Linked DNA regions of Coturnix japonica. The protein of the gene in region 3 interacts with the protein of the main gene of each other region in a pairwise test. Links are inferred from orthologs where the notes say so. Each region holds a gene or a part of one and is shown on either strand. Other genes may lie near its edges. The genes, in order: ELOA, HTT, CUL5 and CCNDBP1.

Region 1 (8,151 bases), on a different chromosome or scaffold from region 3:
CCCCGCTCACCCATTCCGTGCCAAATGACCAGCGGGACGGCGGCCCCGGAGCGGCCGGGACACGGACACAGACACACACACAGCAGCGCCAGCACCGCCGCGAGCGCCGCCATCTTGGCTACCACGTGACCGGCGGGCGGAGCCCGGAAGCAGCGGCTCGTCACGCGGCGCCGCCTCCGGCCGCCAGGGGGCGCCCAAACCCGCCCCGCCCCATAAGGCCCCGCGCGGCGCAGGCCGCTCTCTTCCCCGCCTCCATCATGGCGGTGAGTGGAGCTGCCGTGGGTCGGGACGGGCCGGGCCGCTTCCATCCGCCGCCATCCGCCCTATGGCGGGGCTCGGCCGGGCCGCGGCCTGTACGGGGGGGGCGGGGGAGGTCGGTGGGCGGCGGTAGGGCTGGTACGGGCTGGTACGGGCGGCGGGCTGCCCCGAGCTGCCCCGAGGCTGCGGCTGCCGGGCCGGGCCGCGAGCTGCGCCGTGCCGGGATGGGGCTGCGGCACCGGGCGCTCCCGGGCTGATCCCGGTACGGGCCGCGCTGTCCGCACGCTGCAGCCGCCGGTCACGCGGTGCGGGCTGCGCTCATCCCATCCGGTGTTTCTTCGCAGCAAGACCAGGGTGAGAAGGAGAATCCCATGCGAGAGCTGCGCATCCGCAAGCTGTGCCTCAACATCTGCGTCGGGGAGAGCGGGGACAGGCTGACCCGGGCGGCCAAAGTCCTGGAGCAGCTGACGGGACAGACCCCCGTGTTCTCCAAAGGTGACGGGGCTGCGCCTTGTGCCCAGTGTCGCCGTGTTGGGGCTGCGGGGGGGCGGTGCTGGGCACAGTGCGAGGTCACGGTCTGTGCTGTGTGTGTCTGTGGGCGCTCAGTGCTCCGTGACGGCAGCTTTAAAATCTCCAGTCCTGTATCTCTGCCCTTGTCCCCGCAGAGGGAATGTGAGATTCTTGGCTCTTTTTATTTCCTTTGAAGTATCTTGTTTGGTCTCGATCAAGCTCTGAGTCCCCTGGAAGTTGTTTGCATGGCGTCCTGAGTGTCACTGTTCTGCCTGCAGCTCGGTACACGGTGAGGTCCTTTGGAATCAGGAGAAATGAGAAGATTGCAGTTCATTGCACGGTTCGTGGGGCCAAAGCAGAAGAGATCTTGGAGAAGGGGTTGAAGGTGAGAATGGGGCCCGGCTGGATCCTGTGTGGAGAAATGAAAAAACAACTTGAACTGTCGGCAGCTGGAAGAATGATGGAAAGCTTTGAAATGTTGCATCTGATTTAGTTACAGTCACAGATGTGGAGGCTGGGTTGGTATCCCTGGTACACGGGCTGAGATTGCACCATTTCTTTACTTGGTGTGTGTGTGTGTTTAAGACTCACTGGTTCAGCTGCTGCATCTTTTGAGTTTTTCTGTGTTATTGTGATTCCCAAGCAGGCCGTGGGATTGGAATCTGATTACTAAATGCTTACCAACATGTGGGTCTGGCAGCAGTTAGTAGAATGTGCAGAACTCCTGTTTGTGGTTGGTGATGGAATGACGACTGACAATGTGTGTTTCAGGTGCGAGAATACGAGCTGAGGAAAAACAACTTCTCAGACACTGGGAACTTTGGCTTTGGAATCCAGGAGCACATCGATTTAGGGATCAAGTACGATCCCAGCATTGGCATCTATGGCTTGGACTTCTATGTGGTGAGTATTCCCTGTCAGTGCACCTGCCTGCTCAGTTAACTAGATTCCAATTGCTGCTATAGTGCTTTAAGTCCTGACCATAGCTCACAGAATAAGATGTTGTTGACCTGGAAGTTGTAGATTGTCCCTTGTTAAGGAAAGGTTTCTTTAAGTAAAGGCTGGAATGAGGTAGTGCTATTGGTCTCCTGCCAGGTGCTGGGCAGGCCTGGGTTCAGCATTGCTGACAAGAAGCGCAGGACTGGCAACATTGGAGCCAAGCACAGGATTGGGAAGGAAGAAGCCATGCGCTGGTTTCAGCAGAAGGTACGGTCCAACTTTATTTAGTTTTTATCCTGCAAGGTTCCTGGCGGGTATCAGCAAAATACTGCACTGCTTTATCGTCCTTATGGGAGGAATGGAACGAGTCACTGGGCCAGACAGTGGGGCTGTGAAAGGGATGAGTGTGTTCGGGTTAGATTGACATCTGAAGGGGCCGCCTTGTGTTGCTTGACCGGTTTGTGGCCTTAGTGCTGACCCAGAGCCCCCTGCCTTGGAAATAAGCATAAGGTGGCAATGCAATTCGCTGCTCGGCTCAGAGAAGTGTTTAATGTCATTGTCTTGGAATGAACGTGGTCATGTTTTTCCCCCAGCAGCCCTGTACCTCTCCCCATTTACCTGTCTGCTTTCTCACTGTGTTCTCTCTGGTTTTCTCGCAGTATGACGGCATCATCCTTCCTGGCAAATAAGCGGCTCCTGTTACCAAAAAGCAAATAAATGTTTTTTAACCCCAGTTTCTGTCGTGTATTTTATGGGGGCTCCTCCTGACCTGGGCAGCTGCTGGAGCAGAACGACGGGCACCACCATGGGTTAATATGGGTTAATATGGGTTAATATGGGTTAATATGGGTTAATATGGGTTAATATGGGTTAATATGGGTTAATATGGGTTAATATGTGTTAATGTGTCTGGGCTGATGGAGGGAGCTGGAGCCTTATTGACCATCAGCCCCTTTGGCTGCTGGTTCCCAGCCCGTGTTTGAGCTGCCTTCGGCTGATGGGGATTAAAGCCCAGCGCTGAGAACCCCGCGGTGTTTGGTGGGTCTGTGCCCCCCACACACACACCCCATGAGCCCTGTTCGACCCCCCGCAGGCTGTGCCCGCTCTGTGCAGCCCATAACGGTAATTCTCAGCTCAGCTCTGTGTTCCAGTTCAGCCCCATCCCTTGTCCCGTTCTCGTTCCCCCGCTCCTCCCGCCCGTTTCCGCCCTCGGGACGCTCCGCGCCGCCCGAGCTCCGAACTGCCAGCACTCAAGATGGCGCACCCAGCGCCACGCCAGGCCCCAAGATGGCACCCATTGAACTCTGCCCTTACCTGCCATGGCCGCCGCCGACGGGGGGAGCATCGCGCAGCTTCCGCTTCCTGCCCGCAGCAGAGATGGCGGCGACGGCCGGGAAGCGCCGTGTGGCGAGCGAGAGGTGAAGCCGCTTCCGCCGCCGCGGCCCGTCCAGCACTAAACATGGCGGAGTCGGTGCTGGAAGTTGTGGGCCGGCTGCAGGCTCGGCTCGCGGGCAGCGCGGATCCCAAGAAGGTGCCGGCGGTGACACGGCGGGTGCGGGAGGGACGGGGCCGGCGCGGCCGCGAGGGGCGGGAGTGGCGGGGTCGGGGCCTGATCCGGAGCTCGGGGGTCCCGGCTCCGCTCGGGCCGCGCTGTCAGGGCCGGTCGGGGCCGGTCGGGGCCGTCCGGGTCTGTCCGGGCCGGTCGGGCCGCTCCGCTCGGGGCTGTCCCCGCCGCTCGGTTCGGGCCGGGCCTTTGGTCGGTGCTGGCCGTGCTCGAGCTCTCGGCCCGTCCCGTTGCTGCCGTGCCCGCTGACAGCCGCCGTGCTCGGGGCCCGGAGCCACTTGTCGGGAGCTGCGTGCGGTGCAGCCGGGGCTTGTTGTGCTCCCGGCACGTGCTGCTGCGCCCGGCACCGGGACGTGGCGCCTCGCGGGGCAGCGGCTGTTCGGAGCCGATGGGGCCGCGTTTCATTCAGTGCGGACGCGGCAGCAGCTCCGTGCGGAGCCGGGTTGATCCTGGACACGCACCCACGGAGCGGCTGAACCCCGTGGGTCGGGCGCAGGGAGCTCTGCCGCTTGGCTGGCTCCGTTTGGGCGCCCAGTGCCTGTCTGTCTCCTTCCTCCACCCTCAACCTCACACAGCACCGGAGCGGAGCTGCCAGGGCCCCGTGTGCTCAGCTGGAGCTGGGGAGGCCGAGCTCTTGGCATCCAGCGTGAGCACTGAGAAGTGCCGTGATGCTGGAACTGAGACGTGTAACTCTTCCAGAACAAGGAGGAAAACCTAATTCTTCACTCATAGTGATGAAGTCCTACGTGTGAGCAATGGGGCAGTGGTTTGTGGTGAATTTGTGGTGAATAGGATCCATCCTGTTGTTCTGTTTAAGCGAGATGGGCTCTTTTCTCTGTTGCTTCTTCAAACGCGTACAAATAATTCATTTCCTTCAAAAAGAGTGGAGCTGCCTAAACCTCCTGGGTCCTTGTGTGGTGTCAGTAGAGTGACAGGAGCTGCTTAGGCTAACAGTACTGATTTCAGCATGAGTACAATGGTTTAAGTAAAAGATGTTCCGGATTGAGGCAGCCCTTTATACGGCGTATGGCACAGCAGTGCTGAACAAAGCCGGGTTGTAGAGGTGCCACAATAATGGGAATGCTGACAAGTCTGCTCTGGCTGTAGCTGCAGGAGATAATACAAGAGGTGGTGCTGGTAGGTCTGTGCTGTTGCTAAAAAGCCTCTGTACAGCTCAGTGAGTTGCCCAAGCACCAGTACTGCTCCATTTATGCCCACACAGCCCAGCCCTTCAGCTTCATGTGCCACGGGGCTGTGTAAAGGCTTTGCTACCGACACTGTAAGCCAAAGTTAAATTGTAGTTCTCTGTAAAGGAAGAATTTGTATTTGAGTAAGTTCAAGATTTTTCAGGTGACCCTCATAGGCCAAGTGGCAATAACTTCTTTGCAGCTGGCCCTCAAGTCTGGCTTCTTAGGGACTCGATGTGGAGCAAGATAACAGCTGTCTGCCACCTGGATCTTTCTAACAAGCTTTGTGCAGAGCTTTCCTTTCTAATCATAGTACATGTTTCAGTCTGACAAGTCTTAACGTTTTCCTCCTTGTCTCTGCAGCTGCTGAAGAGTCTGAAGAAGCTGTCTGAGCTGCCCATCACAGTTGACATTCTTGTGGTAAGAGCTGCGAAATCTCTTGTGCTCTCATCCTGTCTGTCAAGTTACAGAATCTGACTGCTAGAAAAATGCTGCTCTCTGGAGCAGGATATGCTGCCTAAGCTGCCTGCTCCAATGTGATGTCATAGACATGGCTGAGATGGATGAGATTCTAGGATTCTCAGTTAGAGAGAGCACCTCAGCCCTTCTTCTGCTTCAGCGTGAAGCAGTGCAGGGCAGGTGGTGGTGCTCAGCTCCTCCAAAGCTTATTGTTTGGTCGGGATTTGTGAGTCGGAGCAGTTCCTAATGGTGACGGAAGCTGCATTGCATTAGGAACTGTGAATCTTTGGAACTATTAGTGACCGGCTTCTGTCTTCAAACAGTTATGGTAAATAATAACTTAGTCTATTAAACCAATTGAGTAGCCTTCAACTTAAAGCAGAGTTATATCTTCACTAATTTACAGAACTGCAGTAAGCTATACAATGTCTGCTGCAAACACAATGTGCTACGTGTGATATCTTTGTTGTTAGATTAAGGAAGCTCACTTTGACCTAGACATGATAGGTAGCAGGCTGACTGCAGGAAGCTCAGTGGAGGAGGTGTGAATGCTGACTGCTTTGCTGAGGTTAGTTTTTATCTTTTCTCTCTCCTGAAGGAGACAGGCGTTGGAAAGACAGTGAACAGCTTACGGAAGCACGAGCTGGTGGGAGACTTCGCCAAGAACCTTGTGGCCAGGTGGAAGAAGCTGGTGCCGGTCTCCCAGGAGGCAGACAGGTGAGTAAACCTGCTCAGTTATCTCAATGGAAAAGTTGTTCTCTTTTAATTTTTGCAGTGTAGATTGCAAACTACTCTGGTCGTGGAAACAAATGAAGGCTCTGGAAAAACCTGTAATACAGTGTGCTGTGTGGGGCTTCTGCTTTATTTTGGAACAGACCTCCTCCCTGTGCTCACCGCAGTGCTGTGTTGCTGACGGCTGCAGTTCAGAGTGAAGGCAGGGACCAACCTCCAAGAAGCTGCAGTTTGATGAAGAGATTAGCAGTAGCTGCCAAGAAAGGGCTTCTAATAAAGCAAAAGATGTAATCTGTTCACTTCCCACTTATGATGCCAAAGAGAGGAAGTTTTAGGCGCAAGTAAAGGAAGTGGCTTGCTTTGAAAGAAGACTTCTGTGTGTAGAGATGCCACAGAAACCAAAGCTAATGCTAGCACTGTGTAGCAGTAACATAGTAGTGTGGTGTCCCTGCATGTTTTAATGGGTGAACTGGGAGCTCCTGTTTCCTTACACACTGTGCAGCCAGAAGCATGTGACATGGAGACATCTCTGTACACCTCTGCCTCCGCTTGCTCAGTGAACTGTGAAGTTGTTAGTCCTTATAAAAGATGCTTAATTCCTGTGTCAGAAATGTGGTTCCTAAATCCCTGAATGTTGCTGAGCTAGTGAGAATTGGTGGTATTATTGCCACAAAACTTCTAAATGCAATTTTAGTCCTCTGTAAGAGATTCCCATCCTTATTGCTCTGCTCATTCATACTGGGAAATTTCAGTCTAAGTAATTTGTTTTCTCATCCTTTTAGAAATAATGTAGATTCTGAAGACTGTGACTATGAGAGGAGCAGCTCAAGGAAAAGACAAGCACCTTCTCCCCAGGAGGATGAGGAACACGACCAGGACTACTCAGAGCCTTTCCAGCCTTCCTGCAGCCAGCTCTACAGCCCAGATCATAGGGAAAAGAAGTCCAGAAGGTATTTAGGGCCTGAAAAATCTCATGAGGCTTATGGCTGTAGCAGCCAAGAGGATAAGAGATGGGACAGATCTTCCCCAGTGCTCTCTTCAGATCAGGAGTACTCAGACTATGGACAAGCTGTGTCACCTGAGCCAAGTGAGAGCCCTCAGGATACGTACACAGACCCTTATGCCTCTGATGAGCAGGAAGAACCAACAGTGTTTCATCAGAAAGTCAGTAAAGGCCATGGCTTTCAGGAGAAGCTGGGGGAAAGCTGGGAGAGGAGCCCTGGTGATCTCCATGACAAAGGGAATGCCAGTCGAAGCAAAGAGCACAAGTCTTCTCACAAGGAGAAGCAGCGACTTGATGGCCGAGGGGAGAACAAAGCCTCTGCCATCAGCCCAGAAAAATTGCACAAGACCTCATTTAAAGAGCATCTCCAAGAAAGCCCCGTGGTAGGGGGCAGCAAGGAAAAGCAGAGGATGTCAGATAGCACTAAGAAGGAGAAAACCCGAGAAAATAGCTCTTCCAGAAAAGAGAAGCTGCACACACAGCCACACTTGGAAGAGTCTATGGACAACCACACTAAGAAGCGAAAACATCAAAACTCTGAAAAAAGCAAACCAGGGAAGTCCAAGCCAAGCGTGGAGACTTCTAACACAGAGCGGGAGAAACAGAAAGCTGAGAGTGACTCCTCAAATAGAATTAAAGACAAGGGGACTTCTGGGAGCTTTAAAACGTCTGAAGGGAAGCACAAAGCCTCTGAGTTGGACAAAAAATCTGCTGACTTGTCCTCAAGTTTTGGGGATGGGGAAGTGGAGGATGAGTTTGAACAACCTACTATGTCCTTTGAGTCATACCTCAGCTATGACCAGCCCCAGAAAAAGAAAAAGAAAGTGGCCAAACCCTCTGTGTCAGCTGGGGAGAAAGATCAAGGGCACAGCAAACAGAATGGATCCAAAGCCAGTACCAAGAGCTCCAGCTCGAGTCGCAAGAGCCCAAGTCACAAGCGGACAAATGAGAAAAAAGCAGAGAAGAAACAAGCAGAGACTCCTAAACCAAACAGGGTAAGGTTCTGGAGGATCTGAAAGTGAGCAGAAAAGGTGGAATCAGCTGCCCTTAGTCCTCAGCTATCCGGTGTTTACTGGTTTTCCCCTTTTATGTGCTGGGCCGTCCCCCATCAGGCTGTGCTTGAGGTGTCTCATCAGGGCGGTTGGTGGCCCCAGGCTCCTGCTGGGACATGCTGTGTCTCACCCACCTGCTGCAGAGCAGCCCCACAGGCGTCTCTGTGTGCTGCTGGGGTGGGACTCTGCTGGAGCTGTGAGTGGAGCTAACTTTTTTTTCTTTGTCAGTACTGCAGTTTTATTAACTGGATGAGTTGGGCCCCAGGAGTGGGGAGAAATGGGAGAACTCTAGAAGCCTGAACTTCCTTTGTGAAAGCTTGAAAAAAAAAAAAAAGTAATGTTTCTGTATATATTCATTGCCTCACAGATGCCGGTTGCCTAAGTATGGAGTAGTGTGTAAAAACCTGTGCTACTTTCTTTTTACTTGACTTTGAAACACGTTTCTCC
Region 2 (7,984 bases), on a different chromosome or scaffold from region 3:
CATGGAGATGAGGAAGTTGTGCTATATAATTTAAAGTGACTAATATTACTAGCTTGGAGATTTCACTTGGAGAAGTGTGCAAAGGGTAAGGAGATGAAAGCAAAGCACTGTGGTATGAGAAACATAATATGAATTTTGTTCATGATTTTTCATAGGATGCAGATGAGAGATGGCAGCAGGTTGTATTTACTGCTGATGTAGACTTTTATTTCGATGAAGCTATAATTAGAAATAGAGTTTCCTGTTCAGAATGCCTTCATTTCACCTCTGTGAATTCAGATCCTAGCTCTGTTACATGATTTTAATAGCAGCGAGACAATCCAGCAGCCCAACTGCTTTGTTCTGTTGGTGTGAGATACAGGAAGATCTATCAGTTCTGTGGAGCTGTTTCAATGAGATCAATCCTTCTTTGTGGCTTTTGTTTCCAAACATTTGTTTCTGTAAGTCTTAATGTCTGCTTGTGTGTACCTCATGAATCCACATACAGGTAACTTTCCTCATGCTCCACATACGTCCAAACCACCACAGTTCCTTCCATTTATAGCCATGTTGACTGTTAAATGTGTTAGCTCCAGAACCACTCGAGTTAATTGTTGTATGAGCTGTTTTCCTGGATGTTCTACCATTGTTACTCTTGAAATAAAAGCAGAACACTGCCACATCTCTCAAACACACCTATTATTGTCTTATGTGCTTTGTTTAGCAGCTCTTTCACGGTAGCCGGGGTAGGTAAAGTTGTCATGAAAACAATTAAAATTACAAGTTGTTGAAATAGAAATGATTGCTGATTCTGTTGTCTCAGCAGCTATAGGTACATTAAAGCAGAGGTTGTACTTCAATCCATTATTTTTAGTTAAAAAAAGATCTTAATACTTGAATTCCGCTGTCTCTGAGAGAAGCAGCCTTTAAATAGGTATGTTTTATATGTGCTTTAAGAGGGCAAAAGCAGGTCCAGCATCACGAGGCTGATGCTGAGCGGCCAGCGGGTCCCCTGCCAAGCACTAAGTGCTGGTTCCTGTAAGTGTTTCCCCTTTTTCCTCACAGCCCAAAATAACGCCTTAGTGCCGGTAGCGCTTGGCATCAGCTCAGCGCGATAAGGGCTGTGAGGGGATGGATGGATGGAGGCTGAGGCGCCCTTAGTGCCGCCAGCGGGCGCCCAACCCGTGCTGGGCGGAGCAACCCAGGCAGGAGCGCGGGGGCTGCTGGGCCAACCCCAAGATGGCGGCGGGGCAGCGGGGCGGAGATCGCGGCCCCGAACGGCGGCTCCCCGGCTCGGCTCGGCTGTGAGGCGCCAGGCGGCCTGTGAGGAGGGTGTGAGGGGGAGAGGAGGGACAGGCGGAGAGTCGGGAGCGGGAGGAAGGACGAGGGCGCTCGCCTGTGAGAGGGCGGGCCGGAGCGGCGATGGCCACCATGGAGAAGCTGATGAAGGCCTTCGAGTCGCTGCGATCCTTCCAGCAGCAGCAGGTGCCGGCCGTCATCCCCGAGGAGCCGACGCTGAGACCGTGAGTGAGCGGAGCGGGACGTGGGGTTGTGGCAGCGGGCGGACGAGTCCGGAGGTGCCGCCTGTGTTTGTGGCTGTTGAGGTGGCTGCAGGTCTCTGGGTGAAGGTTTGTAAACGCTGCAGCCTTGTGAACTTAAGCCTTGTTTGACTCAACATGAGCCAGCAGTGCGCTCTGGCAGCCAGGAAAGCAAATGGGATCCTGGGCTCCATGAGGAGAGGGGTGGTCAGCAGGGATAGGGAGGTGATTGTCCCTCTCTACTCGGCTCTTGTGAGGCCCCATCTGTTGTACTGTGTCCAGGTGTGGAGCCCTCAGTACAAAAAAGACATGGAGATTTTGGAAAGGGTCCAGAGGAGGGACAGGAAGATGATCAGGGGGCTGGAGCACCTCCCCTATGAGGACAGGCTGAGGGAGTTGGGTTTGTTCAGCCTGGAGAAGGTTGCGGGGTGACCTCATTGCAGCCTTTCAATACCTGAAGGGAACTTACTCCCAGGAGGGGAGTAAACTCTTCGAAAAGGCTGATAATAGCAGGACACGGGGAAATGGTTTGAAGTTAAAAGAAGGAAGATTTAGGTTGGATGTTAGGGGGAAGTTCTTCACTAGGAGAGTGGTTAGGCCCTGGAACAGGCTGCCCAGGGAGGTTGTGGATGCCCCGTCCTTGGAGGTGTTCAAGGCCAGGTTGGACGGGGCCCTGGGCAACCTGATGTAGTAAAGGTGTATGTTTGGTGGCCCTGCCAGGCAGGGGGGTTGGAACTACATGATCCTTGAGGTCCCTTCCAACCCGGGTCATTCTGTGATTCTGTGAAAAGATCTTAAGTTTAGCTTAAAATCTAGGATTTGTCTGTCTTTAAGGAATGGATGTAGATAACTGCTTATGGCAGGCTTTGCTTGAAGTCTTGCGTTGTCACGTGTTTTGAGCTCCAAGAGGAAATAACACAAATGTTTCTGCTATCTCTTTGTGTCCTTAGATATTAGGGTTGGAGGCACTGAAAAGATGTTTGTTCCTATCTGCGCAATGCTCTGGTTTCAAGTCAGGGAACCTGCAGCTTTGCTGGAGGCCAAGGAGCTGTTCAGTGCCCCAGTGCTGCCTGTCGGCTTTGCTTTCTCTAAAAATAACTTTTATTGAGCAGGTGAAAAGGCACTAAGGACTTTAGTGCACTCGGTAAGTGAGTCACACTGTTGCTGTTTCTCCAGACACGAGGGAGACAGGAGGAACACAAGGGCTGAGGAGCAGGTAGCTTCAAAATTGACAGTTTCAGGTGCTTTTGGCAGAGCTGATCCACAATGGAAGCTGGGCTCTTGGCCACCTGCTCCCACAGTACGGTTTGAGACAGATGCCAGCTGGATTTGCCACGGTTCATACTGCTTGGACACTCTCACCTCAAACACTTTCATTGTGTCATTGATACTCTTGGGGACACAACAGATGAAAAACCTTATTTTCTTCATAAGCCAATTGTTTTCATATACCTCAGTGTTTACAGGGACTAATTGCTCTTTTATTTTTTGATTGTACTATGATTTTGCATGGCATGGAGAATAGGTGGACGTCTATTTCCAGTCTTTACTGTGCATAGCAGAAGAAAATCTAAGCAGATATTGCTAGGATAGATCATCTTATTTGAAAAGAAAGGCTTGAAAATAATTTGTGATGCTTGCAGGGGGATGTTATGGTTGATTTGGGGGTTTGCATTTAGTCATACCAGAATCAAAGCGCTAAAAAATCAAGCTTGTAATTGTCCTAGTTGACTTTGTTTTTTCCTGTTTAAAAATAGACTGGTTGTTTTCAGAAAGCTGATAGTATTGCATGCCCCCAGGAGCTTTACCAATTCAGAAAGGGCACTGAGCTCCATAAAAGCCTATGAAACGATATTGTGCCAATCTTCGTTGGAGTTTCCTGAATTGTTAGTGAAATACCAGGTGACATCTTGAGCTGAACTCCTGGTGTTGGTTGTGTTTTCCATCCGATGGGTTAGAAAAGAGAAATGCCTTCTTGTGTTCTTTGCACATAGGGACCAGCGTTCATCTTAATTGTGATCCTGCACAGATAACCCTTAAATATTTAGCAGTGCTGTATGCTAACAAACTACTCTCTCCTGATGTGTAATATTTTAAGATCACGGAGGCTGGAGCTTAGAGATGGGAATTGTTTGCACAAATGTCATCGTGACAATGAATTTTGAGATCTTGATAAAATAATATCCTGGTTTTACATTTATTATTAAGGTATTGATTGAATTCAAACATTGGTAATGTGAGGGTTCTTTTCTCTCCTTTCCTCAAGGTTTTAATCAGCAGTAATCACTTATTGTGGTTTTAGTGTGTGTTACAGGCATGTCAGGTTATGGCCTCCTCTCTTTCTGTGGTTGGTTTGGCCTTCTATGAATGCTCAGATTGAGCTCTCTGTCATCATTTTGCTTCTACAAGCTTCTGCTGAGGCACCTTCTTGTCTTCCATCTCTGTTTTTTTGCTTTTTTGGACTCCTGAATTTTGGTTGGAGTTGGGTATGTTGGGTTCAACTCAACAGAGTTGAAAGTTCGGTCAATGTGATGTAAAAATTGACTTTGTTCAATGAAACAAATGAACGGATGGACTGTCATACAGCATCCTGTATCTTATTCATCTCACCTCTTGTCACAGAGCTGACCAGAATGGTGTGATAATCGCAGGTTACTTCTGCTACACATAACTACATGTAGCTAGTTCTACACATAACTAGTTTTGATTTGACCATTCTAAAGGCTGTCCTCTTGTTATTGTTTTTCCCACCTTTGGAACTGTTAACTCGTTCCGATAGTTAATTATTATAGTCATTTTAAATTGTGACCTATTTCCAGTTTGAATCATTCATTTATATTTACGTGCGGTTCTTACCCTTACGTTTGAAGCCAAGGAACTTTCCAGTAATGGGCATTTTCATGAGCACATGATACACATTAAAAGTTTTCTTTTGTCCTTCAGAAGCTGCTTTTTAGGAAGGCAAATAACAAACGGCAAATGAAGGATCCAGTGCAGCAAAGGCAGTTTGATGCTTTTCCTTCCTTCCCTTTGGATAGTGACTCAATTTCTTTTAGTTTAAATGGAATGTGCATAGTTCAGAAGTTACCATTTCAGTTTTCACTTCAATTTTTCTCTTTTCAGGCCATTTTTTAAATGATTTTTTTCAACTACCCATTTCAGAAGCGATGGACTCATGTTAGGGGAGCTCTTTGCTTACGGAAATCTGCCAGGGATCGATGTGTGCTCATCTGTTATTATTGAACATTGCTCCCTGCTTTGCCCAGGGCTATATTAGCTGAAGACGAGATCCTCTCTGAGGAATACTGAAGCTTACATTTGACAATATTTTCTTTAGATCTAATGGAAAAAATGCTGTTGTTTTGGTTTGGTTTTTTCCTCATTAGTGTTCTTTATATTTTTTGCAAGGGAGAAATAAGCAGATGATTGGGAGAAAAACTGAAAGGTTGGGATGAAATAAACCCCCATTTCCAATATGACAGAATATTATTCCAATAAAAAAATATGCTAATGTTTGAGCTGAAGATATTTCAGTTTAATTCTACAAAGCTTTGTGTCTTAACAGTGTATTTTCAGTTACTGTAATGTGTTCATTGGCTGGTCACTGTTGGCCCTTACAGCTGTGTTGACTGTGATACTGTAGTTCAGGGCTCCTGTGATCATTTTCAACTTCTACTTTAGAAATGCTTGTTTGCTCTTTGATGGTTTTGCTGTTTTTTCTTGAGACAGAAAACTCAGTGTTCAAAATACAGATTACTTATGTTCACCTGGAAAGCAAAAGCGAAGTCCAGCTCTGTGTATCTGTGCATTCACTCATCTGCGAGTCAATGAGCAGGTGCTTTTTGCAAGTACACACAGAGGTACCTTGGGCTGTGTTTTTCAGCTCCTGGGTTTCGACTAGTGAATTATTTATAAGTAATTTCCCCTTTCCTAGGGGTGGTTCTCTGACACTTAAGTTAAAAGTAGGAGACTTTGCATATAGTGAAATGAAATTTCGCAGTCGTAGTTGTGAGTCTGTCTCATTCTAGTGTTTTATTTTGTGGTTTTGTTTCCCCTAGTTCATATATTAAAATGATTGAGGATGGAGTAGGGAAGAAGCTTCTGTTATTTATGAGCTGATAGCATGTGAGAGTGGTGAGAGACTTTATACATTGGGCTTTGCACCTTTTGTAGGTATGCTTTGATTCTGTGACTTCTGTTGCTTATTCTGTGCTTGCTGCTAGTTAGCTTGGCCTTAGTGTTACTGCAAGGACACGATTGTAGACAGGTATGGACCATGCCTAGAGTTTTGCTATTTGGACAATTTCAAAATCATCTGGGGGATTGTGATGTATGGCAGGATTGCATTGATATAGTTACTGCTCACTTTTAGTCTTAGATTTATTTTAATTGTTTCGTTTTAGAAAGAAGGAACTTCTAACTACCAAGAAAGATCGAGTGAATCATTGCCTGACAATATGTGAAAACATTGTTGCTCAGTCTTTAAGGTAAGACAAAGTCTGGCTTTAATATGAATAGCAACTTCTGGTTACTAGACACATGTAGGCTGATTTTAAGTGCTCAGTTTCTGTTTAAACTGAAATGGTACAATGCTTTTTATTGCTTCTTGTTGTTTGTGTTTTTTTAACTAAGCCAAAATGTACTATTTTTCTTTACACATTGGTAGAGTGGATACTATCCTATTTCAGACAGAAAAGCCAAGGCAAAGAAGTCAAATACTGTGCCTGGTTATGTAGGGAAGGAGCAGGGAAATGATCTCCTGTCTTCTTACTAAACATCTGCTGGATCATTTCTCCCCTTGTAAAACTGTGTATATGCAGTAGAGTTCTGAAACCCCTTTATGTCTGGCATTGATGTTTGCTTTTTGCAGTGCACATTGTGATTTTCTAATACTCGTTTATTTAGAAATTCTCCAGAATTTCAGAAGCTGCTGGGGATTGCTATGGAAGTTTTTCTCCTCTGCAGCGAGGATGCAGAATCTGATGTCCGGATGGTTGCTGATGAATGCCTTAATAAAGTTATTAAAGTAAGAACTTTTAGGTATTGTGTTAACATATTCGTCTTCTTCTTGATGCCATGTTACATGTGAAATCACACTTACATTCTTTTAATTACTTACTCTTGATAATCTCTTGTAATGCAAGAGTAGGCTTTAGGAAATTCTATATGTCTTCTAAGGAGAGATTTTTATGCATGGAGTTACATAAATTTTATATCAGATGAAGGCATTTGAACATGTCTCTGTGCTAATTCATTGCTCAGATATTTTTTGTTCAGTGATTCATTAACTCTGTTCTCTTTAAGTCAGTTAAAGATCATTTTGGGATGGGAGGAATACTCCTTTGTTTTGTAAGCATGAAGTTACGTAGTATGTAAGAAAGCTAAAAATATTACTGGAAAGCTGACTGTAAGATGTTATGACGCTTTCCAGACTAATGGCATACTGTAATTCTGGTAGTGCTTTACTGAGACTTGGCAGAGGAGCTTTTAAGCATAATTAGGATGAAAGCAGTGTTCTGGAGTCTGTTTATTACCACGCTGCAAGCCAGAAACAAGGACTCGGTGCAGACAGCAGATGGATATTGATAGAAGGTCGGTCAAGGTCAAATTATGGATTCAACATACAAAATGAACCTTATGTGGAACTGATGTGAGCTGCTGCTTCCAGAACAGATTTACCTTCACCTGTCCTTTCTTTATTTTTTCTTCCTGTGTAATGTGCCTGCATCATTAATCTAGTTGATACGAAACGAAGTGCTTTATGAATTTGAAAGTAAGAGTTTTCTTAGTTAGTTAGCAGTTATGGCCTCCACATTAGCACTTGCCATGTAAGATTTTATAGTTATGAGTAATGCTCTGAAAATGTGAATTTAATGGTTGATGGTCAAAATGATGGATAGGAGACTAAAAGTCATTGAATAATAGGACTAGGAATAAAGAATCAAAAAGTCCAGAAAACATGCTAATGCATAAAAGAGGGGTTCTCAAGGGCTATTAAAGGTTGTGGTACAAATGCAGCCTCAGTTTGGGATACACCTACCTTACTGTTTGAAGGTGGGGGTGTATAGCAGGGAAGAACTCCCACTGCTTGCAAGCACTATTCTTGTATTTCAATAGTCTGTTCATGAATATCTATTACTGGCTGTTGCCAGAAGGCATGGTCAGTTGGCTGTACCTGTGGTCTGATGCCATATGGCCTCTTTTGGGCAGATTGAGGTCAAGTAGCTAATACCAACTAATTTAAATACCTATATTATAGTTTAACTTGTGGGATTGTCTATGTTTCTGTTTGTTCTTTGTGTAAAAGGTGAACGAATGTCTCTTGTAAAACCAGAATGTGTTAAATACAGGATAACGGAGAGAGAATGGCTGATTTGTGTTTTTAAAGCTGTTTTATTACAAGTGCAATTTTATTCCTTTAAAGTGCCTCCGCTCTGATACAATGTATTGACAATGTATTTTATTGC
Region 3 (6,538 bases):
GCTAAAAAATCCTGTTGAGCCTTGAGTTAAAAAATTGTATCAGCTGCAGGTTGAACAGTCTTCAGAGCACTGCTACCCCTAGATTGGAATGTCTGCACTTCACTTTTCTAACAGTTGTCATTTGAGCTATATCATTCTGAAAGTTATTGGGTATTTCTTCTAGATACAGGCTCCCTAATTGTAGCTAAATTCAAGGTAGGGCTTGAATCCATCTCCAACCACATGAATGCTTTAACTGTCCCCTTCTTTTATGCCCCGATCATTCTTCATGAGTGCTTTATACTGTACTCTACCTGCCTGTAGGAGAGAGTGATGCACACTGTTAAGAATTCAAATTGCATTTCTGAGATAAATTTCCCTGATGAGAAACACTGAGAACATCCAACATTGGGCCGGCTGCTGCTGCTGCTGAAACCCCCTGAGTGGTGCTTACCAACATCAGCTGTAGAGCTGCATCACTGCAGAGGGAAGACAAAAAAGCAAAGCTTTTGATCAGTATTGCTAGTAGAAAGTCTGTGGTCCATAAATGGAGTATGTTAATAGGCAGCCACCTTGCTAGTTTCTGAAAATTCAGCCCTTCGTAATTGTATTTAGAACAGGAGAAGAATGCCTTCTGTTTGTCTGTCTGCTCTACTTGCAGTTTCATATAATCCAGTATTGTCTTACAGCTGACTCTGTGAATATTAAAATTTTAAATGCTGGTGCCTGGTCCCGTAGTTCTGAGAAGGTGTTTGTGTCACTGCCCACGGAGCTGGAAGATCTCATCCCCGAAGTTGAAGAATTTTATAAAAAGAATCACAGTGGTAGAAAACTGCACTGGCACCACCTCATGTCCAATGGAATTGTAAGTCTACTTTTTGGTGCTTCAGTTTCAGTGGCGCAGAGCTTGTTATCCAGAAAACCTTTCAAGCAGAGTTGTCATTCTGTTCACAGATAACGTTTAAGAATGAGGTTGGTCAGTATGACTTGGAAGTAACAACATTTCAGCTGGCTGTGCTGTTTGCGTGGAACCAAAGACCCCGAGAGAAGATCAGCTTTGAAAATCTTAAACTGGCAACTGAACTCCCTGATGCAGAACTTAGGAGGACTTTATGGGTATTTCACTTTCTTTCGAAACAGATTTCTTCCTGAATTTTTTTGCACTCTGAAGTACGGAAATAGTATTTTTAAAGTGCAGTCAGAAAATACTTCAAAACTGAAGTGTGAACACCTTATTTCTTAATTAACCTTATTGTAACCCTGGCCCCTTGTAATACTGTTGAGCACACGCAGCCTTTACATTAATGTGTTCTCTATGCTTGGAATTACATAACGTAAGCTTTTGGAAACAGCAAGATCTTTCTGACCATATACAGCGTAAAGCACAAAGTTGTGATTGAGGTTTGTGGAGTGGGACTGGTCTAATTCTAGGAACTCTTGATAAATGTGTGTTGCTTAAAAACAATGCAGCATTTCCTCTATCAGTCTTTTAATAATTTAGCTCACAAAAGAGAAATAATGTACATCAGGCAACACCACACGCTACTTCTGTAGCCGTGAGCTTGTGCATTTTTTCTTTTTATTATTTTACTTGTGGTAACTCATTTCAGAAGGACATTTGTTAAGCTGTGTCCCATCCCTGACTTTACTAGTGACTTTGTGCTGCCCTCCAGCACCTTCAGTCAAGGTTCCTTCACTACAGCCTGCACATCAGTGAGCTATGTTCTTAAATAGTACTTGTTTCCATTTAGAAAGTCTGGTGTTTTATTTTCATTCTTTTTTCCCCCCTTTTTCTCTGTAGTCTCTTGTAGCATTTCCAAAGCTGAAACGTCAGGTTTTATTGTATGAACCTCAAGTCAATTCACCCAAAGACTTTACAGAAGGAACCCTCTTCTCGGTGAACCAGGAGTTCAGTTTAATGTAAGATGATGTTTGAAAATGAAAATAACAATGTGCTTTTTTATAGTTAAAGGAATTCACTTTAACCTTCGTCCTTGGAAGTTGTCAAGATTCATTAGGCTTTGCTGTCCTATATTTGCTTCACTTCTAGTGCTAGTCGTGCTTCTGATAGGTGGTTAAAGCAGATGACCGCCAGTGGCCCCTTCAGACAAGTGTTTGCATAGTTCTGATTTCTGTGAAGTTAAACTTCTTAAATGCCTGTAGGGATGTGGTGCAGAATTGGAGGCTCTGCCATCTTCCCGTTACTAATGAGCCCATGAGGTTTTATATAGGAAAATGCCAAGTCTGGTGCTGCTGGGGCTTAGTTTCTTGCCCGGGGATGTGGTGGTTCAGTTGTTCCTGTCATCAGGACCACAAGCTTTGGGAAATGATGTGAACACATGACAGAAGAGACAGGCTGCACAGAAGTGTTGGGGGTGACCAATGAAGAATGCCATCAGCTTTTTGCCATGCCTGCTATGATGTCTGGTTTTCTCCCTCTATTTTTTAATGCTATACAGACAGTTTATGTGATGAAAAATGAACTTGTCCCATTTCCTGAACTTTGTTATAGAAACTCCTTTGAAGAACACTAGTGTTATGTAACTAAACTGAAGTATATTTCTCTAGAAGTCTATTCTTTAAAATAGTGCTGGTAACCTTTCAATGTTGAGTACTGTCAGTTTCAGCTGATGAATTTTGTGCTAACACTGGGATGTTGGTAGTGGGCTTTTTGGATGGAGGAATTGGGATTGAATTTGGACATGTCAGCTGGTATCCCAGTCCTGCAATGCTTCTAGTCTATAAATGTCTCATACACAATGGTTCTCCTTGCTGCAGTAATTTAAATTTAATAGGAATTCTGTAATTGAAAACGTATTTTAGCCTTATTTTTATACAATGCAACTTTTTCAGAAAAAATGCTAAAGTTCAGAAAAGGGGCAAGATAAATTTGATTGGTCGATTGCAACTTACTACAGAGAGAATGAGGGAAGAGGAGAATGAAGGAATAGTCCAGCTAAGGATACTACGAACCCAGGTAAGTGTGTGTCAGAGGAACATCACAGTTCTTTTTCTTTTCTTGTGTTATTGCAGCCTCTGATTGTCAGTGAATGAAATGAATGCTTTTTAATCCCACTTGCACTTCTGCTCTATGGCTCTGATACTTTCTGAAGAGCTCATTCTGTGCGCGTGTGCGTTTGTAGTTACAGTCAGGTTTAACTCCAGGACAGCCAAGCTGTAAACTGTTTCACCTCAGTTAACACCCTGGCTGTTCTTTCAGCCAAAGGGTTAATGCCTGCATGTGCTTACCAACTGAGAACACCTTGTAAGTGCTACTCTGACACTAAGCTTGTATTTCACAAGGTATGTCTCAGGTCACCCTGACTTCTGCTCAGAGAATGGGCAGGTGAACAAACGCCAGGTTTTAGTGACTAACTCACTCTCTAGATATAAAATTCAGAGTCACCACTGACTCAGGTTGTATTTCTTGTGCATCTTGTCAGTGTTCCATTCTGTTGCTTTATCATCTTCTTTGTGAAGACAGTTCAGGATCTACTTAGGCTTAGGAATTGTGGCTTACACTTAATACCTCATTAATGCCAAATTCAAAGCCATTTACTTCATGGATTTATAACTTCAATCATGCTGTGAGCATATCCTAAATTAGCCTTTTGTACGCAGTTTCCTTTGGTTTGAGTTCTACTGAGTTCTTGGTCACAACCTGGAAGATAACAAACTCCGTGGTTTGACCTTGCAAGTAAAACGTGTTCTTATCGTGTTATTTGTTTTCTTTTTAGCATTTTTTATTTACTTTGTTCTTCGTTGTAAGCATGGGGGTATAGAAACTCACAGGAGATCTTTGTACTGTATTATTCTCAAGTTTAATCATGATAATGAACATGGGCAACTGGCTGTAATTCACAAAGGTGGAATGCTGTAATCAGAGCATGTCTTGTTTTCAAGTGGGTAAAGGTTTGGCCCTCACTTCAGGAATATATAAGCAAGAGCAGATGTTGGCCTTGCCTCATTTGAATTGGGGTGTGTCTTAAGTGCAGTATTTACGATGGCAAAATAATTCTTATATTTGATTTTTGAGGAAGAATATTTTCTTGCTGTACCAGGAGTCCCCTGTTAAAGCTGTGTTCGCTTTGTGGTTTCCACCAGACATTTCAGAATGTTTTTTCTCTCATTCCCCACCAGGAGGCTATCATCCAAATAATGAAAATGAGGAAGAAAATTACTAATGCCCAACTTCAGACTGAACTGGTAGAAATATTGAAAAACATGTTCTTACCACAAAAGAAAATGATAAAAGAGCAAATTGAATGGCTTATAGAGCACAAATATATCAGAAGAGATGAGTCGGATATCAACACCTTCATATATATGGCATAATGCGAGGACTCTGTGAGCTGCTGAGAACATAAACAGAAGGGTGCTTGGACAGACAGCTGCAACAGTTTGTGCTGCAGAAGGACCTGTTTTGACTTTCATTACGTATTAAAATCCCTGCCTTACCTTAAAGAGGACTCTATTTTGCCAATCTCATTCAGCTAGCATGATGGCATTCCCTTCATGTTGCACACTTTTAACAGCATGCTGTTTTGTGGGAAACCTGCATTCATGAAGAGCCCGTTGTGAACTTTTAAAAGTAGATTTGACTTACACCCACCAGGAAGAATACAGGTTTGGGTTTTTAGATGACCAGTACTTGCACAAGGAAAAATATTCAAATATTCATGCACTGAGGAACTGCTACTAGTTTTGTTTTGGTTTTTGTTGTTGTTTTCTTTTTTTAATGCAATTAGGACTAGAAGTAGCACTTTCACTTTTGTGTTCTGGATCAGCAGAGTCATGTACTGTCCACCTTTGATCCTTTTTGTAATAACATTTGAGAGACACATGCCTCACAAACTGATATATATTTGTTATCATTAAAATCTGTTGGCTAGAGCAGTGCTTCAATCTAGTAACTGGATTTTAATATTTGACACATAAGTGACATAAAAACAATTCCAACTCATGGGTGATACTTTTCTCCAAACAAGAGATGGTTGTTTTTAAATTGTTTTCTGTAAAGAAGTGGATATACATTATTTGTTACTTTATTTGGACAGACGATTTGGTACAATCCTTTTTGAGAAGGCAAAGCTTTCTTGAATGATATTCCACTATAAAAACAGTTTCCATAGATGGGTCTGTTATAGTGAACAGAAATATTAAGTGTATTTCCTTATACATTTAATATTTGTATGCCAGATATTTAAGTATGCTGTATATCCGAATGCATTAAAGAGCAATTGATGCACAGATTCTCAGAAAGGAGGTAACTCTCAAAAATCCCTGCATCAATTCCTCACTGGTAGCTCTCTCTGTATGGATGGATGTAAGGTTAATCATACGTTGGCTGTTTTGTTCCTTGAAAAGTCAACATCTGTGACAAACAAATGCTCTGCTTTTCATTTTGAAAGTGTCAGAATGGGAAATACAATTCTAACAGAAATGGTGAAAAGCTTAGGAAAAACACCTTGTAAGATATATGTGGAGAGAGTGCCAACATTGCACCAGGAATTTCAATTTCTTAATGTTACCTTTTCTGTTTGCAATCATCTGAAGTAGTTGTTTGGCAATGCTTGCCTCTGCTACTCTGAAATGTCCCAACGTGTCCTGGGCTGTAATAGGAATCAGTGGAGCAGAGTGCCTGTCTTGGGACAAAAGGTAAGTTGAGCCTTTCTCAGTTCTGTATGAATATTCGTATATAAATTGCAAGTGTGCGTTCTTTTTATTTTACCAGTTCAAATACAATATCTCAAGGTCTTCTCAAATGATTGGAAGAGGGTGGAGGATAGGATTGACTTGAGTCAAAAAGGAAAACCTTCCATTAAGAGGAGGAGTTTATTTTTACGTGGTTGCAGTAAAGGGTGAAATAAGAGTGGTTTGAAAGCAAACTCACTACGAGAGTGGCTGTTTGCCCCCTTAAACAAGCTGCTTGGTCTGCTTATTAATATAAATGCCATCGTGACTGCCTGCATATGGTGTGTACTTGGTCCTCTATTTGACTGAGAAATTTGCAGTGCCAGAGGTTTCATGAATAAGAAGAGATGGAGAGACACTGAGAGCTGGCAAATTAGCATTTACACATTACAAATTAAGCTCGATGCTTTTACTGATTAAAAACAGTAAATGCTGTTGAAAAATAATGCATTTTTTTTCGTCTCCTATGGTGTTGCTATTCAGAATCAAAAGCAAGTGGTACACTGTGTAATTAGCCACTAAAACTATTCCAATGATAGGAAACAAAATTCTAATAAAATCCTTGTGCTACGGGAGTTTCAGTATTGGAAAGGTAAATTTCAGTAAGTGCTCACTTGAGATAGTTGGGATAAACTGACAACCCAGAGCTGTAAACATACCAGTCTGAGCACAGCCTCACCGTAAGAAATTCCAACCCTTTACCACAGAGGAACACACAGAAGGAGCACTGGGTAATGCAGCTTCTGAAGCCATTGACTTAGGTTGAGAGGAGTTGAGAGCGTCTTATATGCAATCATTCAGGAAGCTGGAGCGCGTGCAGAAAGCAGCAGGTTGTTAAAATCTAACAAACTGTTTTCCTTCAACT
Region 4 (8,190 bases), on a different chromosome or scaffold from region 3:
CTTTAGTTAAAAATTACCTACTGATGAGACCAGAAAATTTTATTCCATTTCTTCCATGGGATTAGCTACTCTGGAGAATTTTAAACAAGCTTGAGATACTGAAAGCCATCCAAACACAGTCCACTCATCTAGTACAATAATAACATAGGTGAGCACAGGATGAAATTGTACAGCAGTGGGTGCTGCATGCAGCTATGGACAACTTGAAAACCAGAGATCTACATGTGGTCCACAAAATTGTTCTTTCCTGATAAAAGCAGTCTCAGGGGTTTGGTACACAGCTTAGAAAGTCCTTGCAGCTGGAAGAATATCAGTTAATAGATAAAGATTTTAACAGGTGGGCAGACAGCTCTATAACCCTGGAGCTGGTGAGTGACTACTGGAGTCCCTAATGTTTGAAACCTTCTTGGTGGAAAATAAAGCCTTCTTGCCATCTTCCTCTTTCCACTGCAGCAACAGGGGTGGGATTTTTGCTATTCAGTTTTAGGCAAGTGCTTAACTCCATGCACTGTTTCACAACTTGAATGTAAAATAGCATGAAAGTAAAATATTACTGTGGTGATTTGGGAAATGTTAGTAGAGACAAATTTTTGATTTTGCATAACCAGAAAATGTATTGTAAAAATAACTCAGAAAAAGATAGGGAATAAAATCATCTACAGGGGCTGATGTCATGTTAAGACAATGAAATGTCCCTAATAAGCTGAAATACCATTAATAACCTTAGTTACTTCTGATGAATATGCTATGGATATGAAAAGAAATTGCCCCAGTATGCACTAACCACACAGAAGAGTAGTCGTTTTAGTGGATAGTAGGGGACATGGAAACAGGTTGCAGTGACAAGTAGAATTCTGTTTCTAAGATTCTCTTTCTCTTTTTTTTTTTTTTCAGGGGGTCTTATCTAACCTTTTCTTTGTGGAGCATGACTTTCCTGAGCAGGACATCCAGGAAGGGAAAAGCCATCAAAACATACATGAGGCACAGTTTGTGGTGGAACTTTGCAAATACTTCTTGTGTCAGGATTATCAACCTTCTCAGATCACCATTCTCACTACTTACACTGGACAGCTTTTCTGTTTGCGCAAGCTCATGCCAGCCAAGACTTTTGCAGGTGTGAAGGTTTACGTAGTGGATAAGTACCAGGGAGAGGAGAATGATATTATTCTGCTGTCACTCGTGCGGAGTAACAAAGAGGAGAGAATTGGGTTCTTGCAGATCCCTAATCGGATATGTGTAGCCCTATCCAGAGCTAAGAAAGGGCTGTATTGTATTGGAAATATGAGAATGCTGAGCAAGGTGCCTCTCTGGAGCAAGATCATTCACACACTGAGGGAGAAAGGTAACATCGGCCGCTCACTGACGCTTTGCTGTCAAAATCACCCTGAGACCATGACTCTGGTATCCACAGCAGCAGACTTCAGCAAAGTCCCAGAAGGAGGCTGTAGTCATCCCTGTGAATTTAGGTTGGACTGCGGACATGTTTGCACAAGAGCATGCCACCCATACGATTTACAGCACAAAAAGTATCAGTGTCTGAAGCCTTGTCAAAAGGTGCTTTGTACAGAGGGGCATCGCTGTCCACAGTTATGTTATGAGCCATGTGGACCATGCATGGTAATAGTAGAGAAAATGGTTTCTAAATGTGGCCACCTGCAGATGATGCCATGCTCTTGTCCAGAAAGTAAGTTTATTTGCCAAGAACCTTGCCAGAAAAAATTAAGCTGTGGGCATACATGCAACAAAAGCTGTGGGCAGGAATGTAGTACTCGGTGTCCTGAACTGGTTACAGTCTCTCTGCAATGTGGCCACAGCCAGAAAGTTCGATGTTGGATGACTGATGAGATGAAATATCATAAACCTATTGAATGTATGGCTAAGTGCACTGTCAAACTGGAGTGTGGCCATGGATGCTCAGGTTCCTGTCATTCCTGCTTTGGAGGAAGATTTCATGAGCAATGTAAGAGCCCATGCAAGCGCTTCTTAATTTGCTCCCACAAGTGTCAGCAGCCTTGTACTTCAGAATGCCCTCCCTGTCAGCTTGACTGTCAGAACCGCTGTGTCCACAGCAGATGTAAAAAGAAATGTGGAGAGCGCTGTTCTCCATGCGCAGAGCCATGTGAGTGGCGATGCCAGCACTATCAGTGCACCAAACTTTGCCATGAACCATGCAATAGGCCTCGATGCAATGTACCATGTACCAAGCTGCTGCGCTGTGGTCATCCTTGTATTGGATTCTGTGGAGAGCCCTGCCCAAAAAAGTGCCTTGTTTGTGACCGTGAGGAGGTTACCCAGATCTTTTTTGGCTTTGAGGATGATGAGGATGCACGATTTGTACAGCTTGAAGATTGTGGCCATGTCTTTGAGTCTCAGGGCCTTGATCGTTATATGGATGAAGATGATGAAGCCATCAAGCTGAAGGTGTGCCCTACCTGTCAGACACCGGTCAGAAAGAGTTTGAGATATGGCACTATGGTGAAAAAGCATCTGGCTGAGATAGAGAAGGTGAAAGAGAAAATCCAAGGCCCAGCATGGAAAATTGTGTCAAGCAGACAAAGACTAGAGGCTGCGCTCGCAAGTAAGAGTGTTCTGAGGAAGAGCCTACTCGCTAAGTACCTCGTGTTGGAGGATAAGCTGAATTCCTCTGATCTTTCCATAAGGAGCACTGCATTAATTGAGAATCTGATTAACTTCTATGAACGTATAGCTGACCTAACCAGTTCTCTGGGCAAAATTGATTCAAAAGAGCAAAAAGGGCTGAAAAAGCGTCTAGACGAAATCCAGGAGTGGCTGGATAAGCCACGCCTCGGTTTTACACAGCAGGAGCTCATGGATCTGCAGGCTGAGATCCAGAGATTGACCTACCTACAGGACCTGTTGTCAAGGTGTAAAGCCGTAAGTGGGAAGATCACTGTGACCGTTGCAGCAAAGATTGCCAAGGTCCGTGAGATCTTGGAAGGGACAAAAAGGTTTACAGAGAAGGAAGAGGCTGCAGTGAAAGCTGAGCTGAAGCTTCTCAAGGCTGCCCTGCCCCTGTCGGGATTGGGGATCACTGAGGCTGAGAGAGTGCAGATTGTCAGCGCTATGGGCCACCCGCGTGGCCACTGGTTCAAATGCAAAAATGGGCATGTCTATGTGATAGGGGACTGTGGGGGGGCGATGGAGAGGAGCACGTGCCCTGAATGCCACGAGGTCATCGGGGGTATGAACCACACTCTGGACAGCACGAACAGCCTCGCTTCGGAGATGGACGGAGCGACCCACGCGGCCTGGTCCGAAACAGCCAACAACCTGCTCAACTTCCAGGATCTCCAGCGCCTGCTGTAGCTGCTCCAACCCTGCCTCTCTGCCTGAGGGTGCAGCGCTCATTCCTTGGCTGTTCACTGCTGCCTCTGTAATCACAGAACCACAGAATGACCCGGGTTGGAAGGGACCTCAAGGATCATGTAGTTCCAACCCCCCTGCCTGGCAGGACCACCAAAGATACACCTTTACTAGATCAGGTTGCCCATGGCCCCGTCCAACCTGGCCTTGAACACCTCCAAGGACGGGGCATCCACAACCTCCCTGTGCAGCCTGTTCCAGGGCCTAACCACTAGTAAAGAACTTTCCCCTAACATCCAACCTAAATCTTCCCTCTTTTAACTTCAAACCATTTCCCCGTGTCCTGCTATTGTCAGCCCTTTCCAAGAGTTGACTCCCCTCCTGGCAGTAAGTTCCCTTCAGGTACTGAAAGGCTGCAATGAGGTCACCCCGCAACCTTCTCCAGGCTGAACAAACCCAACTCCCTCAGCCTGTCCTCATAGGGGAGGTGCTCCAGCCCCCTGATCATCTTCCTGTCCCTCCTCTGGACCCTTTCCAAAATCTCCATGTCTTTTTTTGTACTGAGGTCTCCACACCTGGACACAGTATGGATATAATCAATAAAACGCATATACATTGTACCCAACACCGCCCTTCCTTGCCGGGGTAGCGGGCGGGACTGGGAGGGTTTATCTAACGGGGCGGAGCCGCCTGTTTTCTGCCGTCCTCCGGAAGGGGATGTGGCGTACAGCAGCCGACGGGCTGCCGTGCTGTTAGTTGTTGAGCCGGGCCGCAGCTGCCGTCCAGCCGAGCCGGAGCGCGGGGTGCTCCCGCAGCATGGAGACCCGGGAGCTGCTGCAGGAGCTGTGCGGCTCAATGCGCGCCGTGCTGGCACGGGTTAGAGGTGGGAGCCGGGGCCGGGTGGGGACGGAGGCGGACGTTAGGCCGGAGTTCTGGTCCGGGCTTTCCGCAGACTGAGGCCTTTTGTCTGCATTTACAGAGGGAGAACCGGGTGAAGGCCGCGAGCCGTTCGAGCCTCCGCGCTTCTGGGATGCGCTAGGTACGGGCTGGGGAGCGGGTTGGCACCGAGGGGACCGCCGGGTGGGGCGGAGGTTGGACCGGCCCACAGCAGGGCTGGGCGGGTCCCAGGGCAGGCTGGGTCCATAGCGGGGCTGTGAGCTGCAGGGGATATCTCTGGCACTCCCCCTCAGCTCTAGTTCTGCTGCTGTTACATAGCACTATGAAGCGGTTTTTACAACGTTTTCAAAGCCTTATGGATCTTTCTACTTCCTGCCTTGGAGCAGGAGATGAATGTGATTATGGGTAGCAGTTCCAGCTAAGTAAAAAGCTGGCAGTGAACACATACCTGATGCGTGTTTGTGCATCAAAGGCACCATGGAAACTTTCTTTTGCAGTCTAATTTGGCATATATAGCTTTTTCATGCTGAGAAGGAAGAAATAGTAGTGTCAGGGAAGACACTGCTAGTCGACTTACTCTGTTCTAGTTTTACCTGACAGAGTTTCTAATTTCCTTTTTCCTGCTATATCCTCTCTAGGTCAGGCATTCAAGGCAACATCCCAGGAAGCTACAAAGCTTAGTCTGGCGTTCTCGAGACCTCCACTGCCTTCTGCAGAGGTTAGTAAAAATCTCCCACAGAGCAGGAAATTACTGTCTGTGTGACAAGTTTGAGGTATCTCTCAGTTCACTTGACTAATGCAAAGTTATCAAGTTGAGCATAAAAAAGGGACTTTATATGAGCTGTATTTTTATTTATTTTAAATGAATATTAATCAAATTCAAGAATTGCCTTGGAAACTAATTTATGTAGGTTAGGAGATGTCTTCTTAGATCTTTTTTGTTAAGCTTCTACGACTGATTGCTGATAGAGGTGAGATACTGGGCAGTGTAGATCTTTTCTCTTAACAATGAATGATGTTATGTCTTCTGTTAATTAAGAGAATATTAACGCTGTATGCGCCTTAATTTGAGAATAATTAAACTATTTTTTCCTTTCTTTACATCCCTTGAACCAAGGTGTGGTGGTCATACACCGTATATCAACTCTTGACACATGCAGTGTGCATGCAGCTCTAGCAAATTATTCTCTTCTGTGCTTGTTGGCATCACAGAAACATACTGCCTCTTCTTGTGCTGTGTTTGTTTCTCCATTATTGTGATGCTATTCCTTTTTCTTACAAAGTAACATAGATTTAAACGATTTCTTTTGAGGCTTTCTAAATGTAGTGTAGCCCTGTGATATTCCTAGTTAATCCTTCTGCCTACCTATTTTCAGAATTGTCGGAAGCTGAGTGAAGATGTCCAAAATGCTATTCTTGCAGTTGCCACAGTGTACTACTGGCTCCCCAAGGGCCAAGGTGAGAGAGTGATGGAGGACAGAGTCAGTTCCTTCATCACTATGTGAAGAAACCCGATATTTCACAGCATGTTAAATTTGGTCTGTATGGGAAAACAAGTTAATATGAACAAAGTCTTGTCAGCTGTTCTATAGACTTGCAATGTGATTATGAGTGAACTTGACAATTTGCTCTTGGAGATTTCCATCTGTGAACAAATGATAATATAGGAAGTGGTATAGTTTACCAAGCATTCATGTTTGTAAAGAGCTGAAATCTCTGTTTAAAGTCTTGTTAGAACTTTAGAATTTAGGCAATATAAATTGCTTCTGTGACTTTATACTGTGTGTCTGTGTGTGTGACTTTATACTGTGTGCCTGTCTGTGTATTCATCTATATCAGTTTCTTCCTTTTGGCAACATACTTGCTGTTTCTCAACCAGGTACTACACTTCGGAAGATGGTACGAGATGCTACCACTGAAGTATTGGAAGGAATGATCCAGCTCACAGAAACAATTCTCATTTCTCCATTGGGAAGGTAGTACTTTTCCAGCAAGAAGAAAAAGTTCCAAGTACACTCACTAAGGAGCAGCAAGTGTAGACTGCACTCATAAGGGAAGTGGGAAGGCAGGAACCGAGCATTGTTATTAGGCAAGCAAAGGCAGCAGACTCATTGGCAAGGGATTCTGATTGAACAGAACGGTGCTGGTGTTGACATTTGTCAAGCCCATAGCAACAATGTCAAACTGGAAAGCTAGGCCAACAAAGTAACAATTGGCTTTGGAGAGAGTAATTGGCATCACACACCATCCAATGATTGTCCAGCCAAGACCATTGCAATTAATTGGGTCTGAGGTCAAGCCAAGAAATCAGTGGTCTGCATTCAGATCAGAATCAAGGAGAGAATCAAGACCAGGTAGAGATATGGCTGCAACACAGCTGTGATGTAGCACAAGCAGAACCTAGTGAGAGACTCTCAGTGGAAAAGTCTGTCCTATGGTAAGGAAGGGCTGGGTCTCACTTGTAGCATTCTTCAACTGCATTTGCTTTGGTAGAGAATAGATTTTTCATCCTGTCTGTGGCAAGGAAATATGCTGGAAGTAGGATTTCCATGACAGTGCTTGATACTGTTTATACTGTTTGGCAATTCTTGCTTGTGGAGTGAATGGTGACGGTGATTGTGTGACTCTCTGTGGCTAGTTAGCGGACAACAGTCCTTCCAGGGAAATATGCAGTCTCTGTATTTACTGATTAATTCCATTGCCTCTAAGCAAAGATCAGCTGTCTCTTCTGATTTGGGTAAATACTCAAAGTTAAATAATATTTAAGCACCTTTAAAGGTTTTTGTAAGAAACTCCTGCATCTTGTTCCAACTAGTTACTAAACTCAGTAGGATTTATTAAAGCATCCTGTGCTTTGCACAGTTGTGAAATACTGGTGACAAGATAGTTTGCCAGTATTTTTTCAGCTGAGCCTCTTATAGTTTGCACAAAAATAAAACTGCCTAGCAGAGTGGTGTGGTGTTACCCTAACTTTGAGGGCCTCTGTTTTGTTTCAGCTCATCTCAGGAGCAGCTTATATCAACTGGTGGTGTGTGGGAGGCATGTGAGCAAGTGTCCAGCCTGCCACGAGGTGAGTACTATGTATGCAGACCAATGGAACTAGAATGTGTGATCTTGAAATACTGTTAACTCTTGAGAGGGGCATTTTAGGTAGTACACTGTAGGCTTACTCATTCTTCTGAACTTTAGTATTCTCTGAAGTATGGAAGCCTGCTCTGATAATTTGTAGAGCAGTACAGTATGGTTCTGAGCTTTGCAAAAAAATAGGATCCTATGATCTCAAGATCTAATGGTTGCAAACACAGATGAATGTTGGTGCAAGCTGATTTGAATCACTGCAGTTCTACAGTTCTCTTCACTTTTCCTTTTGCAGATAACCAGGCAGCAGTTGTGTCATCTCTGTCTGCATTTCTAGGTGTGGTCAAGGATGCTGTGGAAGAGATGGAAAATGTAAGGAAACCCCTAAGTCACTGGGGAACCTGCAGTGATTTCTCTGAAAGAACACAAGCATTGTTAAATATGCAGGCTTTGATTTAGGTTGGTTCTAGTATGACCAATATTATTATCTTATGCCTGTCTTACTAAGGTTTTTAAACCTGGGTCTGGTTTACCTTACAGAGAGCTTCATGGAAGCTCTGCCATGTTTGTCGTTTTAGGTTTATGTAAGAATGGGACTGTTTGCCAGGTTCTCACAGTTTGCTGTTTTGAACAGGAGTCAGTGATCAGTTTTTCTTAATCCAGTCTTACTGGAGTGAACAGAGCCTGGCAGCAGAGTTGCTGGTTGAAGAGAGGTTCCTCCATAAATGATTTGTGTGATTTTTAGACCATGTTTTACTTATCCTCCTCGATATTGCTACAGTAGATGTTAGGCTATAGGTTTTCTATACATCTGTGTTCTCAGGCTATAGTGGAAGAACGAGACCCCTACAGTGATATCATAGAAGATGAGGAGCTTGGCTTTCGGGGTAA

The links.
Region 1: the proteins of CUL5 (region 3) and ELOA come close enough for resonance energy transfer, tested with the Homo sapiens proteins (3 studies listed by BioGRID). The link is inferred for Coturnix japonica from reciprocal best matches to the Homo sapiens genes CUL5 and ELOA.
Region 2: the proteins of CUL5 (region 3) and HTT interact in binary tests that used the Homo sapiens proteins (3 or more experiments, as listed by UniProt). The link is inferred for Coturnix japonica from reciprocal best matches to the Homo sapiens genes CUL5 and HTT.
Region 4: the proteins of CUL5 (region 3) and CCNDBP1 interact in binary tests that used the Homo sapiens proteins (3 or more experiments, as listed by UniProt). The two-hybrid records come from large-scale screens. The link is inferred for Coturnix japonica from reciprocal best matches to the Homo sapiens genes CUL5 and CCNDBP1.

Annotation. Positions count from the first base shown.
Region 1 is NC_029538.1:4,895,183-4,903,333, forward strand, and holds the start of ELOA (elongin-A), read left to right. Parts: upstream 1-3,056; 5' UTR 3,057-3,166; coding exon 3,167-3,259; intron 3,260-4,821; coding exon 4,822-4,878; intron 4,879-5,515; coding exon 5,516-5,634; intron 5,635-6,431; coding exon 6,432-7,647; intron 7,648-8,151. Other genes in the region: PPT1 (palmitoyl-protein thioesterase 1), read right to left, coding at 11-308; RPL11 (60S ribosomal protein L11), read left to right, coding at 258-263, 603-753, 1,047-1,153, 1,540-1,671, 1,864-1,974, 2,367-2,396. UniProt on the Homo sapiens protein: SIII, also known as elongin, is a general transcription elongation factor that increases the RNA polymerase II transcription elongation past template-encoded arresting sites.
Region 2 is NC_029519.1:74,626,097-74,634,080, reverse strand, and holds the start of HTT (huntingtin), read left to right. Parts: upstream 1-1,201; 5' UTR 1,202-1,401; coding exon 1,402-1,502; intron 1,503-5,920; coding exon 5,921-6,004; intron 6,005-6,422; coding exon 6,423-6,543; intron 6,544-7,984.
Region 3 is NC_029516.1:161,306,588-161,313,125, reverse strand, and holds the end of CUL5 (cullin-5), read left to right. Parts: intron 1-668; coding exon 669-844; intron 845-933; coding exon 934-1,095; intron 1,096-1,780; coding exon 1,781-1,899; intron 1,900-2,832; coding exon 2,833-2,956; intron 2,957-4,119; coding exon 4,120-4,314; 3' UTR 4,315-6,385; downstream 6,386-6,538. UniProt on the Homo sapiens protein: Core component of multiple cullin-5-RING E3 ubiquitin-protein ligase complexes (ECS complexes, also named CRL5 complexes), which mediate the ubiquitination and subsequent proteasomal degradation of target proteins.
Region 4 is NC_029535.1:5,929,411-5,937,600, reverse strand, and holds the start of CCNDBP1 (cyclin-D1-binding protein 1), read left to right. Parts: upstream 1-4,032; 5' UTR 4,033-4,140; coding exon 4,141-4,207; intron 4,208-4,303; coding exon 4,304-4,363; intron 4,364-4,859; coding exon 4,860-4,939; intron 4,940-5,597; coding exon 5,598-5,679; intron 5,680-6,100; coding exon 6,101-6,197; intron 6,198-7,217; coding exon 7,218-7,291; intron 7,292-7,594; coding exon 7,595-7,671; intron 7,672-8,122; coding exon 8,123-8,190. Other genes in the region: ZNFX1 (NFX1-type zinc finger-containing protein 1), read left to right, coding at 895-3,327. UniProt on the Homo sapiens protein: May negatively regulate cell cycle progression. May act at least in part via inhibition of the cyclin-D1/CDK4 complex, thereby preventing phosphorylation of RB1 and blocking E2F-dependent transcription.